2 linked regions of the Neurospora crassa OR74A genome follow. The protein of the gene in region 1 purifies or fractionates together with the protein of each later gene. This does not show direct contact. Links are inferred from orthologs where the notes say so. Each region holds a gene or a part of one and is shown on either strand. Other genes may lie near its edges.

The links. Proteins that work in one complex are often made in the same cells at the same time.
Region 2: the proteins of NCU02357 (region 1) and NCU02011 purify together in Saccharomyces cerevisiae (affinity purification with mass spectrometry; 4 studies listed by BioGRID, with this or other methods). This does not show direct contact. The link is inferred for Neurospora crassa OR74A from reciprocal best matches to the Saccharomyces cerevisiae genes PSE1 and KAP95.

Annotation. Positions count from the first base shown.
Region 1 is NC_026507.1:2,756,027-2,763,727, reverse strand, and holds NCU02357 (importin subunit beta-3), read right to left. Parts: upstream 4,460-7,701; 5' UTR 3,959-4,459; coding exon 3,776-3,958; intron 3,686-3,775; coding exon 2,852-3,685; intron 2,781-2,851; coding exon 718-2,780; intron 666-717; coding exon 455-665; 3' UTR 64-454; downstream 1-63. Other genes in the region: NCU02358 (SDS23), read left to right, coding at 6,014-6,433, 6,505-6,971, 7,041-7,701. UniProt on the Saccharomyces cerevisiae protein: Functions in nuclear protein import as nuclear transport receptor. Serves as receptor for classical and arginine/glycine-rich nuclear localization signals (cNLS and rg-NLS) in cargo substrates.
Region 2 is NC_026501.1:1,677,007-1,682,945, forward strand, and holds the end of NCU02011 (importin subunit beta-1), read right to left. Parts: coding exon 5,654-5,939; intron 5,600-5,653; coding exon 4,183-5,599; intron 4,129-4,182; coding exon 4,020-4,128; intron 3,965-4,019; coding exon 3,778-3,964; 3' UTR 2,849-3,777; downstream 1-2,848. Other genes in the region: NCU02012 (hypothetical protein), read right to left, coding at 5-158, 213-280, 341-748, 820-1,468, 1,555-1,644, 1,738-2,153. UniProt on the Saccharomyces cerevisiae protein: Importin beta subunit that functions in nuclear protein import through association with the importin alpha subunit, which binds to the classical nuclear localization signal (cNLS) in cargo substrates.

The DNA.
Region 1 (7,701 bases):
AGCAGTAGCAGAGATCCAACCCTCCGATCTCTCCTGTATCCCACCCAAACTACTGGTAAAAGGCAAGATTGGAACGATCCATGTTACTTAGGTATCCTAGTCATTTACAAGTGTTTATGTGATTTTATACGTGTGTGATAAATGGTTACGTGCGCCGAAGGAACGTTATGGTGTGCATGGTATCTCCATCAAATTCACATTTCCGCTTCGACTCCTCTCGCCTTCTTCCCTACATGACCAAGGCCATCAACAGCCTGATTGCGTGCTCAAGTATTTCTCCACGCTCTTACCATGATTTCCCTACCAGTTCCTGTCGATCCCTTCTGGTTCCATGCCATCTATATCCTGATTTCCAAGTAGATCACCATCTTCCTAAGTCGACGTTTTGCTTTTCCTTCTCCTACGTCCATCAGCGATGTCATCTCTCTTCCACAGCCACTACCTCCGACACTTCTTAACTGCTAAACCGCTCCCGAATCAACTGCTGAGATTCGGGGCCAAATTGCTGCAGTACGGGGTCGGGCGAAGTACCGGTTGCTTGCAACAGGCTCTTGACAGCGGCAATCACGCGCGCGAGGGTCTGTCCGCTCAAAACGTCCACCTCAAGCGCCTGTGCGACGTAGTAGAAAGCTTTAGCGGGTTGCGAAATAACGACAGGATGTTGCCTATTTGCGGGTCAGTCGTTTCCAGTTCGCCATGTCAGGACAAGAGACTTACTTTTCAATCAGCTGGGTCATGAAAGCATACGCATAGGGCGCCGCTTCCTCGTCGTTCAAGACCGGCAGAGTCTCAAACCACTGTGTCGCAACCTGGTCGGGGTTGGCGACTTGAGAAGAGTTGAAATGCAGAATCTTGGCGATGGCAGCGCAGGCATTCTCCGTAGCGTACACATTGTCCTCGTTGCGCGCATCTGGGATCTGCGTAGCCTTGAAGAGAACTTCGACGGCTTGGCCCACCAACGGCGCCCAAGCCTGGCCGCCATGGTGGGCAGCCACACCGATGCCATACGCAGCCGCTTGACGAATAGCGGGAGAGGCATCCTGGCAGCCGAGGAGCAGAGGCTCCGAGATATACTGGGCGTAGTGAATGCTCTCAGCACCACAGTATTCTAGAACATCATCCATAATGCACAGTCCCCACTGTCGCTGGGTGGTATCATTCGAGCTCAAGAAGCTGCTGTAGGTGGGAAGCAGGCGGCTCCAAGCGCTCAAGAAGCTTGCGCCGTGGTACTTGAAAACAGCATGGAACGCCTTGTTCATGTCCGAAAGGAGAGTCTGGTCATCCTCAATGGCCATCTGCATCTCTTCCGACTCGTCCTCGCCATCTTCACCTCCTTGCTCCTCCTCACGAGCGGCTGCCCGATCCTTGTAATCCTCAAGAGTGGAGTGGACACCGTCGATGAAGCGGCCCATGTGCGTCTCATCGAGGCAGGCAGTGCCGATGACCTCGATGGACTCATAGAAGCATTGATACATCTCCGCGAGCGTATCAATGGCAGGCTCGGCGCTAAGAACGTCGAGGAGCTGAACGACGGTGCTGGTCCACAAGCCCTTGAGCTCGTTGGAGCCGGGACCGTACTGCTTCTTGTATGAAATGAGCAATTGCGGAACTAGCTTCGCAGACATGTACCTGACAGGATCGTGGAAGAAGAAGGCCAGACCAGGAAGAGCAATCTTCTCCATGATGTCTGCGACATAAGGCGCAAAGTCACCCTCAAGGACCTGAGCGTACACCACGAGCAGCTCGATGGCCATGTTCTTATCGTCCATGGTGCTGGTACGGATACCAATAGTCTTGCCACGGAGCGGGACAAGCTCCCACCCTTCCTCGGTCTGTAGCTGCTCAATCTGCTCGTCGTCTTCCAGAAGCTGGATATCGGCCTTGGCGCTAGCAAGCTCGAGGAGTGGCGGCATAACCTCGGGCAAGTAGGGAAGGAAATCCCTACCCAACACACGGCACATTCTTCCCCAGCAGTGCATGAGGTACTGGGCCTGAGGATCGTCGGGATCAGTGATGTTTTGCTGGATGCTGGCCAAAAGTTGCACTAGCGCCATGGCATCCGCACCGAGACGCTCCTTTCCAACCGCAAGGGCGATCAGGGTGGCGCACTCCATCGCCTTTGCACGGAGGAGGCGGACCTCCTTCTCATTCTCGCGCTGCAACACTCCCATCAACAGGGGCATGAGAGTATCATAGTACTTGGCAAATGCCTGCTCTGCGGCGTCAGCGATGGTGGCGATGGTAGACAAAGCCTGCTCTTGGACGTAACGCTTTTCATTCTGAAGAAGCTGGAACAAGTGCGACAAAAGGTTGTCGAGATAAGGCTCAAGGACACTCTTGTCAGCCTCCTCACAAAAGTTCACAAGCGCCGCAGCAGCATGTGACTTGACCCGTGCCTCGGGTGCGTTAAGGACGGGCACAATGGCCGACAGCACAATATCGTAGTACTGCTTCTGCATAGTAGGAGCAAAGTCGGTGCTCATCTGGCCGAGGGCATTGCAGCCAGCCCAACGGACACGAGGATGGGGGTCCTTTAACGCCGGGACAACCAAGTCAAGGACCTGCCTCAGTTCACCAATCATCTCCTCGCGGCAGCCTTCTGAAATGGCGGACAGAGCCATCAAAGCAGCGTGACGGTCTCTCCAAGCCGGGGAGTTCATCATGCTAGGCAACCAGCCGAAGATGGGACTGAGAATAGCGGCACCTCCGAGCTTATTAGCCAGACGATCGAGACACTGCTCACCTGCGACATGGTTGGAGTCACTCTCGTCGGTGTCGAGCTGCATAAACGCCATTAGCACAGAGCCAATGTATGGGCCCCACAGAAGTTACAAGTGACCCAACAACTTACATCGTCGCAGCTAAGCCATTCGGCCGCATCATCGTCATCCTCACCAAGATCCGTCATCAAGCTAAGGCACTGTGTGATCATATCCTTGGTATAAGAAGCATCCTTCTTGCACATGGACGGAGCGTAATCGGCAAAGGTGGCCATAAGTTCCAGCGCATTTTGTCGGCAGAGGTCTGTGAGCTCCTTGTCTTGAATGACCGAAATGCTGAATCCAACAAGAGTCGAGAAGACGGTCTTGAACATCTTGGGGGAACTTTCGGCCAAGTCGATGAGAGCGATGAGGGCCTGGCTAAGGTCGTCCGAATCTTGCGAGTCCTTGATAGGAGGAAGGATGTTGAGGAGCTGAGGAAGGAGCTCGAAGTACTTGGCCTGGTTCTTCTTTCCCAGGCTGCGGAAAAAGGCCGCAAAAGCCTCCATAGCAGCAAGCCTGACGGCAACCGACTCGTCCGTGAATGCTTTGGCAAATGCCATGGCTACGGCATCCTGATGTTGTTTCTCAATGATGCTAGGGGTAGCGTGGAAAATGCGGAAGGCCGTCTCGCGCTTGCCAGCATCGGGTGCTTGGCTGAGGTTGAAGAGAGTCTGAAGTAGTTCTGGCCAATTTTGGTCATTGTCATAATATTGCCTAGCAACCTCGGCAACCGCATCACCAATCTTGTTGCGAACGTTTCTGTCTGTCTCGGCAAGGATGGCCTCGAGAATCTTGTTGCGGACAGCGACGGCCTCGTGGTTGTCAAGGGAAAGAAACATATCGGTAGCAGCCTCGGAGGTCGGCGTGGCTTTGCGAGTTTTGAGTGTTATCCGGCGGAAAATGACGGCGGCGAAAGAACGGACCTGCAAGGTTCAAAAACGAGTGAGTTATATGTGAGCAGTGACACGCTGAGGCGACCGGCCCAGCAAAAGAGGGTTGCGAAGAAGCCATACCGAAGCGTCGCTTGATCCAGCAATCTGCTCAGCCAAGCCCATCAAGAGGAGGCCAGGCCGGGAGCTGGTCCAGTTGTTTTGCAAGTGCTCCTCAGCCTGAGAGCGAATGTTGTTGTCGGCCGACTGAAGAGCCTGGAGCAGCTGGCTCAGCTCGGCCGTAACATCGGCGGGAAGGACCGACATGATGAATGATGTATGTTGCGAAGTAGAGTGCTAGTTGTGTCTAGTTGGTGCCGTGGGGTCGGGGAGCAGAAGAGTGAATCGCAAAGCACACTGCACTCCTTACACACAATGTGTGACCCTGGGTTATCGTCGGTTGGTGGGCTCTGGAAGAGGCGGAACGTGGTTAACGATGTTGGCCCAACAACAACATCAGAACTCTCGCTAAAGTCTGATACGGATGAGGACTGGGAAAAAGGCGGGCCAGGGAGGACGGACTTGAGGTGGACACGGCAACGGTGCGGATGGAGAAGCAACTCGAGTGCCAAGTTGATGATGGATTGACGACAGGCGTCGACGGTGACCGTTAGTGATACCGAGACTTGAATGAATTCAAGTCGCGATAAAGGACGCGTCCGAAACTCGACTTTGCTCCAGTCAAAGGTGGATTTGGATTGTCGAGAATTGGTGATTTGATGGCTCTAGACTGGCTCGAAAGGGTCGAGGGGAGTGGGAGGGGGGGGGGCATGGACCGTATGAAAACCGAATGGACAATATTTTTTTTTGATTGGGTCTGGGTCAACCCGAGCTCATGAATGGAGGGGGCCGAGGGGCACACGGCACTGTAGCGTACAAAAGTAGGTGCCTCTCGGCATACCTAAAGGTAGCATAGGGCAGGCAGACATTCTACCTCTACCTCCCGTTACCTAGGTAGGTAGAGGTAGGTACCTACCCCATAAGCGCCCAGGTTCCCCCCGCCGCGTCGCTAACATCCCGTTAGAGCACAGCACCGTTTGCTATGTGATCACCTAGTAAATAACTATCAAGCGGCAGAGGTCCGCTAAAACTACGGAGTGGGGCAGTGGCATCTTGAGATGGCCACCGGTTCTGGCCGTTCCTTCCTCCAACCTATGGAAAGCTCCAGGGCGGCCCCAGCTTCCACAACTTGTGTGCCCAGGCTTCCACTGCCGGGTGGGTAGGGCGTCTGTGATGATCATGATCAACAACATGGAAGGGAAGCAGGACTCGGAGGTGAAGGCCCAGATGAAATGTAGGTGACAGAAAATGGTGGATAGGCCTGATCTAGGTCTAACCCCATGGAGTTCCCTCCCCCACTGGATATGGATGGACTTTCATCGACAAAAACCTAATTGCGCCAGGCTGCCTTCAGTTCGCACCTCAGCCTACCTCTACTTGCCTACCTGATCGCCTCTGGGTGCAGCGCAGCAACGGTCAACAGGTGACAGCCTCAGCCCTGTCCTGCCCTGCAGGTGACCTTATCGCCGGACACTACCTGTGTACAGACTATCCGCACGCCTTAGTGTGAGAGTAGCCTGACAGTCAGTGACGAGAGGGAGGCTAGTGCTTCCCGCGCATAGGCTAGACAGGGGCAACCCCGCACCATCACGTTAAGGTAGGTATGCTCAGGATAGGTACGTGCCGCGGCTGGACCATCGTCATTGCTCTCCCGTTTCTGGACTTGAGAATCAGGCGGACGTTTCCATAGGTTCCTGTTGCTCTCGACTGGTCAATGCTTTTCTTGCTTCGTCAGTTTCGTTGGCAGTCGCAACAAGCCGATCTGAATCTTTCTCGTAGTCTTGATCTCGACTTTACCTATCACTGAGTGTTTGATTCCCGCCATACTACCTCTACTACACTCTCCTGCCAGATACTTCAGAATTTCAGATACACTTCCACCATTACCTACCACATACTCGGTTGCGCAAAGACGGCGGCGGCAACGACCCCGAGATTGCAGACAAGCTCAAGTGAAACGCTATCTACATCTACATACATACGAAGCATACCTGTACCTTCCGAACAGCGGAACCGACTACGACGGCAGCGGTCACCTTGAACTTTCGGCAAAGATACAGTACCAGTAGTAGCTTCTCTCCGCGCATCGATCTGTCGTGAACCATCTCCAACTGAACTACCCTAAGCTCTCTTCTTTCTTCGGTCTTATCCGCATCATCGCCGTGTCCGCCGCGGGTGCTTCAAGTTGCGTGCATTATTACCCGAGAAATCCAGCAACAACAACATCAACAATAACACCATCACCACATCTCGGAAGCTTCGATGGAGTCCTCATCAGAAATCACAAAATCGCCCTCTCCTGGCACATTGGCCAACGCCAACCCGGGCTTACCGGTCTCTGACACTGCGCTGTCCGGCGCCTCGCTCCCGTCTCCTCCAGAACGCTCCAGCTCTCAAGGCGGCAACCCCTTGTCCAAAACAACGAGCAATGTTTCGTCACATTCGCATCGCCAGAGCTTCGCTGAGAACCAACGTCATCCGCCCCCCTCGCCACGTACTCAGAGACACCCCTCCTTCACACAGCAAGCAATTCAAGACCTGATGAGCCACCCACCGCCAAACCGCCATCAAAACCCTCGCTATGTCGGCCGTGACTGGCGGGACATTGCCATTGGCGAGTTATTGCAGCCGGATGAAGTCAAATGGGCGGAACTGGACACTAGTATCCAAGAGGCCACCAAGGTGCGACAGTGCCTCTGTGCCAATCTTCGTCGTTGGTTTGGACCTTGCTGATATCGTTACTTACTGTCCAGACCCTGTTTCAAAGTAGTCCGAACAATGTGGTCCTTGTCCGCCAGAACTCGTCTTCGAAGGAAGCCGTTTCTACCTTTGACCACAGCGATCTCAATGCCTACCTTTTGGCCGTCGTAGGCCTGGCAAAGCCCGAAGAAGAACAGGTCGCTCTATATACAGATATTTCGGTCAAAGCGCAGTCTCAGGAAGAGATCCCGTTACGTACCCTCCAACCCATCTTTCGCCACGAGGAACTGGTGAAGCTCCCAGCCGATTCCACTCTCGATAAAGCCATTGAAGTGTTTGGAGGCGGCATTCACCGCGTTCTGGTCACCAATAAGGACTCAGAAGTGGTGGGTATCTTGAGCCAGTTGCGCCTACTCGAGTTCTTCTGGTACGAGGCCGTCAATTTCCCCTTAATTGATCGTCTTTACACGATCCCGCTGCGTGATCTTCAAATCGGGACGCAGCAAATCATCGCCATCAAGTAAGCCACCTCCGCTTTGTGTACCTAAATCGCCCGGTGCCCTGAAGTCGCTTGGCTAACATCTCCTAGCGCTGACGCTCCTCTTGCCGATGCTCTCTTTCTTATGAGCTCCGAGGGGCTGACATCTGTCGCGGTTGTGGATAACGGCCACAACGTTGTGGGAAATATTTCCACCGTTGACGTGCGCCTCCTAACCAACGCCAACAGTCTGCCCCTGCTCAAGGCTTCATGCATGCACTTCGTCAGCGTCATTCTCTCCGAACGTGGTGTCGAGCATGGCCGTGACTCCTTCCCAGTTTTCTACGTCAATCCGTATTCTACCCTAGCTCACACGGTCGCCAAGCTGGTCGCAACGCAGTCTCATCGTATGTGGGTAGTCGAGTCCGCTTCGCCGTCGCCTAGCGCCCCGGCTACACCTTTACTGCAGGCTTCCAGCTTGCCTCCCCTTTCAACGTTATCACCTCCGGTTGCTTCGCCCGGCAGAGCGGGCAGTCCTGCCCCTGGATCGGCAGCTGTTGTCGTTCCTCCACCAGGTGCCATCACAACGTCGACGCCCCAGTCGCCGCCAGCACAGGGGCCATTCACCTCGGTTCCGGCTTCGGCGCTGCCGGGTGCTGGACTGTCAGGGCGCTTGACAGGCGTGGTGTCGTTGACGGACATCCTAAACTTGTTTGCAAAGACAAGTGGCCTGAGGCCGTTGGATCCTAGTGAGCAAAGGGCTAGGAGAAGA
Region 2 (5,939 bases), on another chromosome or scaffold:
TTACCGCCATCTGTGCCCCAGGACCTTCCTCGGGTGACCGCTCGTTGTATTGAGTGTCAATTTGTTCGTACAGATCTCTGACGTTGCTGAACAGTTGACGAGACATTTCAGTCCAGAAAGCTGTGCGCTCTGGTTGGGACTTATCGTCGGACAAGATACTATGATGCGGTATTGTCAGCTCGAAGTCTTTGCGCTTGACCGGGGTTACTTACTCGGTCAAGTATGCCTTCCTAAGAACAATATTGCAGAGCCGCGTTATCATCGTCACACCGAGGTATGCCTACGGAGATATTAGCGCTGAGTAGGCATTTGCTTTCCATGTTTCCTCCCTCTAACTCACCAGGTCCTGGCCTTCCTGCTTGTAGCCCTTAAGGAGAAAGCTACTCCACCGATGATCATTAGGCAAACCCCTCTCCCATTCCGCAAGGCGGTTGACCATAATTGCATACTCGCTTTCTGGCTCCCATGGATCCGTAACTTTGTCGTTGCTAAGCACCCGGCGGGAGATCGCTCCCCAGAAGTAATGGGCCTGGATAAGCGTTGCAAATAGGGACCGACCCTCGTCGGTAACAAGACTAGGGTTCTCCAAGGCTGGAGGAGTGTCCTGGAGCGCTGCTCTCGACTTTGGAATTTGACCAGTGGCGAAGTCCTTCTCGTTGCAAGGCAATAATGCTGTGATATCGCTGGCTGATAGAGATACGGGGCACCGCGGACCCGAATGGAGGTTGTCCTGACTATGGAGCATCCACTATCATTCAATTAGTCACAGACCATTTCGCAATCCCATCATTCCATCTAATGTAAGGATGAGCCACGTACCAAGGTGCGGCGGGCGGACTCTGCCCTCATGATTAGTTCCTCCGAGGGGTTTTCCGGCAGCCTGTAGGTCTCCTCCCTATGCAGTCCCATCAATGTGGCCATACGCATAGCAATTGCCATGTTGATCGAGCTCTGTTGTTTCAAGCTGCTTCCCTGCTGGGCAATACTCAACAGGTAGAACGCCTGGCATCTCTCCAGGTCCGGATCTCTATACAGTTCGCGGCAAGCAACCTCGGAGGCGCGTTCCATAAAGACTTCAGCAGCCTGAACAGCACCGCCAAACCGATCCACCAATGTTGGCGTCAGTCGGGCCGAAATGCTCAAGATGCTCAGCAGGAAAAACACGCTGACAGATCGGTGGTTCGTCCGTAGCCGCTCGGGAAAGTGTTGCTTGTGGATGAAGCCCAACTGGAAGTAGTGAGCTGTGAACTTGTGGACGGCTTCGACTATTTCAGGCAGCGGCGGCAGAAGATCCCATTCATCGTAGCCCTTGATAGGTCTGGGCACCGCCGGCGCTGGTGAGCGTACGGGTGCATCGAGGATTTCGCGCCGGACCTTTGCGGGGTCTCGTTTGGTCGCCTTGTCGGCTCTGATTCGAGGATGTCGGTATTCGCGATCTTGATCGGGCTGGCCACGGACGGGGAACGTACTGGGGAGAAGGTTTGTGATTTTAGCAAATGATCAGAGTAGAGACACCCTTGCGACAGGGCCTGCATGCATCATGGGAACTCTTACCAGTCAGCCGGACCAAGTCCAGCATCGCGGCAAGCCTGGCAGGGAGGTTGGGCCTTGTCATGGAGACATTTGCTTCTCATACGGCGGCATCTGTAAAGGGCAACACGTTAGTCCTTCGCTTTCACCTGGGTACTCGCGTGACGTTTGGATGATGCCAAGTCAATCCGGCAACTGTTCACATACCTTCGGCAAGCGATTGGAGCTCTTCGCTTGATGACAGGTGCTGGAAGGGCTAAGCCAGGAACTTGTCCAGGAGTTCCGACAGAGACTGGGCTATTGACCTGGCTTGGAGGTTGGCCGGGAAGAGGAAATTGGCCAGGGATTTGACCAGAGAGCTGTTGCCCGTTGATCTGATTGACCTGGGGTTGCAGTTGTTGCGGTTGCTGCTGTTGCGGTTGCTGCTGCTGCTGCTGCTGTGGCTGACTATTGGTATTTGGCACGGGGCTTGACAAATCGAGTTGCATCGGAGTCTGAGGGGAGTCCTGGTCCTGGTGCATCTCGACGTCTTGTTGTGGTTGAGGCGACGCGGCCGGCATCGAAGCCATCGCCATGGGAGCTGGCGATGGCGATTGCTCGGCCTGCTTCATCTCCTGGTCCATCTTGCCGGCAACGACGCGCGCGGCGCTTTGGGGCCCGTAGGAGGATGAGGAGGATGCCTAGGGCAAAAAGAATAAAAAGATGCGATAATGGGACGCCGGGACGGCACAACGGCGATGTTTTAGTTGCAGATGACAGACCAGAAAAGGTAGCTGTTGAAGCTGTAGATTTGCCGGAGCGGCTTCTTGTTGGTTGCGGGGCGGATGATTTGATTGCCGGCAGGGCAAGATATGGTCCAATCTCTACCGCCAATTGCCCTGGATATGTGCTGCACAGGGCAGGCCCAGATGGGTGAAAATCGAATGCCGCGCGCCTGAATTTGAACCCTCGGGGCAAAACTTTCGGTCGGCACCCACCCGCCCGTCGCCAAATAGCAGCCCCAGGACCCACACTCGGAAGACGAACGACGGGACAGTGAGAGTTCGAATCCAAAACAAACTCGATTTTGATTGACAGCAAAGACTGTGGTGGAAATCACTTGTTATCGTAAAGAGGCTTGAGAATCAGCCCTGCGAAAGAATGGATAAGGTGGGACCTTCAGTACCAGTTTGAAGATTGTCTGAACTGAACTGCAGGCATCACAAGTAGCACTTCCGCCATAAAAGAGCTACACGTGATTGGTCGCGTGCCGTATAGTTGATGTATAAAAGTGTGCAGGTAGCGGGCACTATCACTTGACAACACTCAACAGCCCTAGGGAGGAAGTTATAGTTTACATTGAGCCTAGCAACTGTCTTTTTATTTTCTTTTTTCTTTTTTTTTTTTTCTGCTTCGCTGTTTCTACTAGACAAGAACACTTCTTCTGATATCATATCGTGTTAGCTTCATCAAACAAGAGCCTTGTTCTTGCCGTAGCCAACCCATATACGACTGTGAGGGTACATGTGAATGATCCCCCGAGAGAAAGTCCAATATTCCCGCCTGTGCCTTGACATACTTCCTTCTCCTGTTGAATGTTAAATGTTACATGTTGTTGTAGGTAGTTCGGACAAGTGGTGTGAACAAAGGTAAGTAAAATATAAGTGGGAGTGGGAGTATGCATAACAAGGGATTGTTTGTTTTGAGGGAATGGTTTCTTTCTTCGTGTGTCTCTACATGATTGTGCGTTCTGCGTCGGATCGCCCTATGATGCACTTCCTTCTTCCTTTTGCCTTGGATATCAAAGGGAAACGTGTGCTACAGGGTGACGCGCAGTACATGATAAATCTCTTCTCTCGTTTTCCTCCTTCTTCTCTATCGCTGACCCGAATAACGCCCAGGATTCGTGTTACCAAATAACAAACCAGTGCTAGCAGCCGCGCGCAAGGGGGACGAGGGATATAAAGGTGTGTTGGTGCTGTGTGAAGTGTCATTTAAACGAACATGATGTATAAATTAGTGCAAAACCATCGAGGGGGCTTGTATCACATCATTTGTGCATCGTGTTACTGGAGGGATTGGGTGTAGTGTCGTGGAATCGTGTCGCGTTCGTCAGGGATTTGCTGCTAAGGGGCTTGGGGGTAGTGATGGGATAATGCATCTTCCAAAGCGACTACGGGAGTGAAGTGCTTGAAGTGACGCTAGTGGCCCTGAGGGCCGACGAGCTGAGAGAGCACCTTTGGGATTGTCCTCAGGGCTGAGTGAACCTCATGTCTGGATCATGCCCTGGGTGCCGCTGATCTGACGCTTGACCTGCTCGCGCGCCCACCGAGCAGTCTCAATGGTACGCTGCTGGAACTCGCGGTTCGACCGAGTCTCCTTGATCATGGCGGTGATCCAGTCCTGACGGAAGACTTCGGCCAGCTGGCCGTTGGGATATGCGTCCGCAAGATCACTAGATAATCGTTAGTGTTTCTATAATGTGTTGTCTCAACATCATGCCAACTTACCCGATGACACCCATAGCGGCCCGCATAAGGGCTTCGCTGCGGTTAGGATCCTGAGCAATAGTGTTAAGAAGCTCAAAGATCGACTGAACGTAGGGCTCGAGAACGTTGGCTGTACGACATTTGTCAGTCTCTGCAAAGCGCGCTTAAGACCGAGGAAACTTACTCTTATCGCTGCCCTTCATGGCACCAATGATGCCACCCCAGGCGTCCATAATACCCTCACGGAGAGAGATCACATAGTCGAACATCTCATAAGAGCCCTCGGCGGAAGCGGTAACGGTAGCAGCCTGCTGAAGGACAACAGCAACAACCGAGAGGTAAGCCTCAAAGTGACCGCCAATAGCGCCAGCAATATCGCCGAAGCACTGCAAGATTGCAGGCTTGAACTGGTTGGCAAGAGCAGTGCTCCTAAGATTGTTAAGGAGATAGTTCATGAACTGATCGCAGTATGGCTGGCTGCGTTCGCCCATGGAGCGAGTGATATCGCTGACCAGGCCGATAGCCATGGAGCAGAGACTCGGCTCTTCCTGGTTTGCCAGGGCATTGTACAGGAAGGGAGCAAAAGCGTCCATGTACTTGGCAAAGTCCTCCTCCATGGCGTTCGCAAGGCCGCTGATGGCTGCGAAGACACCTTCAGGAACAGCCGACTTGCCATTAATAGTGTTCAAGAGCTGAAGCAGAACCTGCATGATGCGGTCGCCTTGGGGAGTGATCTCCTTGTCCAGGCGCTGAATGATTGCCTGGAGCACGGTGCAGAGACTGGTCTGCATATCCTCGAGAGTGATCTTGTCTTCAACGCTGACAACTTGGGATTGCAGGGGCAGTGTTTCCTCCAAACGTTGAAGGATAACATCCGAGAGGGATGCAACAGCAGGGAGACTGTCGTTGGCAGCATTCTGCACAAACACGTTAAGAACCTCGTAGGCAGCGGTGCGAACTGTAGCGTCACCGTCAAGCTTCGCCGTCACGGCGAGCAAGTTGGTCACGCACTGGTTGAAGTGAGGAGTAATGGGGTTTTGCGCGGCACCATATTCGCCGCCAAAACGCTCCGCGAGGTTCATCAAAGCCCAGCAGCAGGACGCGGCCATTCTGGGGCTGCTCATGAGGCCGTTGAACAGGGAGGTGATCAAGGGGTCAAGGTGAACAGCAGGATCGATCACTTCCGAGCAAGTTTCTGTAATTCTGCCAAGAGCGTATGCGGTCGAGTCACGAACATGTAAAGAGGGGTCCTCCATCATGCCGATCAAGGGCTGCATGCCAGACTTGACGATAGGCTCAAGCAACTTCTCCTCGGGGCCGTCCATCATGGCACCGAAAGCAGAAACAGCGGCATCACGGAGGTGCCAGTCGTCAGCGCGAAGGTTGGCTTCAACGAACTGGATGACTGGCTGGATGATTGCCGCACCAACAGCCTGAGAATAGAGTTGGAGACACTGGTACGCGGCACGCGAAATGTTGTACTCGTCATCAGCCGCATCCTCATCTTGCTTGGTGAGGAGCTGTAGGAGCACAGGGACCACTTCGAGTGTAGCAACGCGGGCGAAGTTGTAGAAGGGGCGCATCTGCTCCGAGCTCTCAACCTGCAGCTGTTGTTAGTGGGATTCTTGCTCAACCAAGGTGGCAGTGAAACGTACCTGAGCATTGTCATCTTCGATAGCAATCTCCTCTTCGCAAACGGTACTCCAGAACTCAACTGCAAGCTTGGCCACATCCTCGTCATCGCTCTTCATGCCCAGGATGGTGAGACCAAACAAAGCCTTTTCCATGTAGAAGCGCATGTTCTCGTAGTAGAGGGCCATGATGCGGTTGAGGCAACCATAAGCACCCTGCTGTATCCGAGAGTCCTCGGCCTGTGTCGCCTCGCAAATAACCTGCATAATGTAGTTGCGCTCGCCCTCATGCTTAAAGTTGTTACCGACA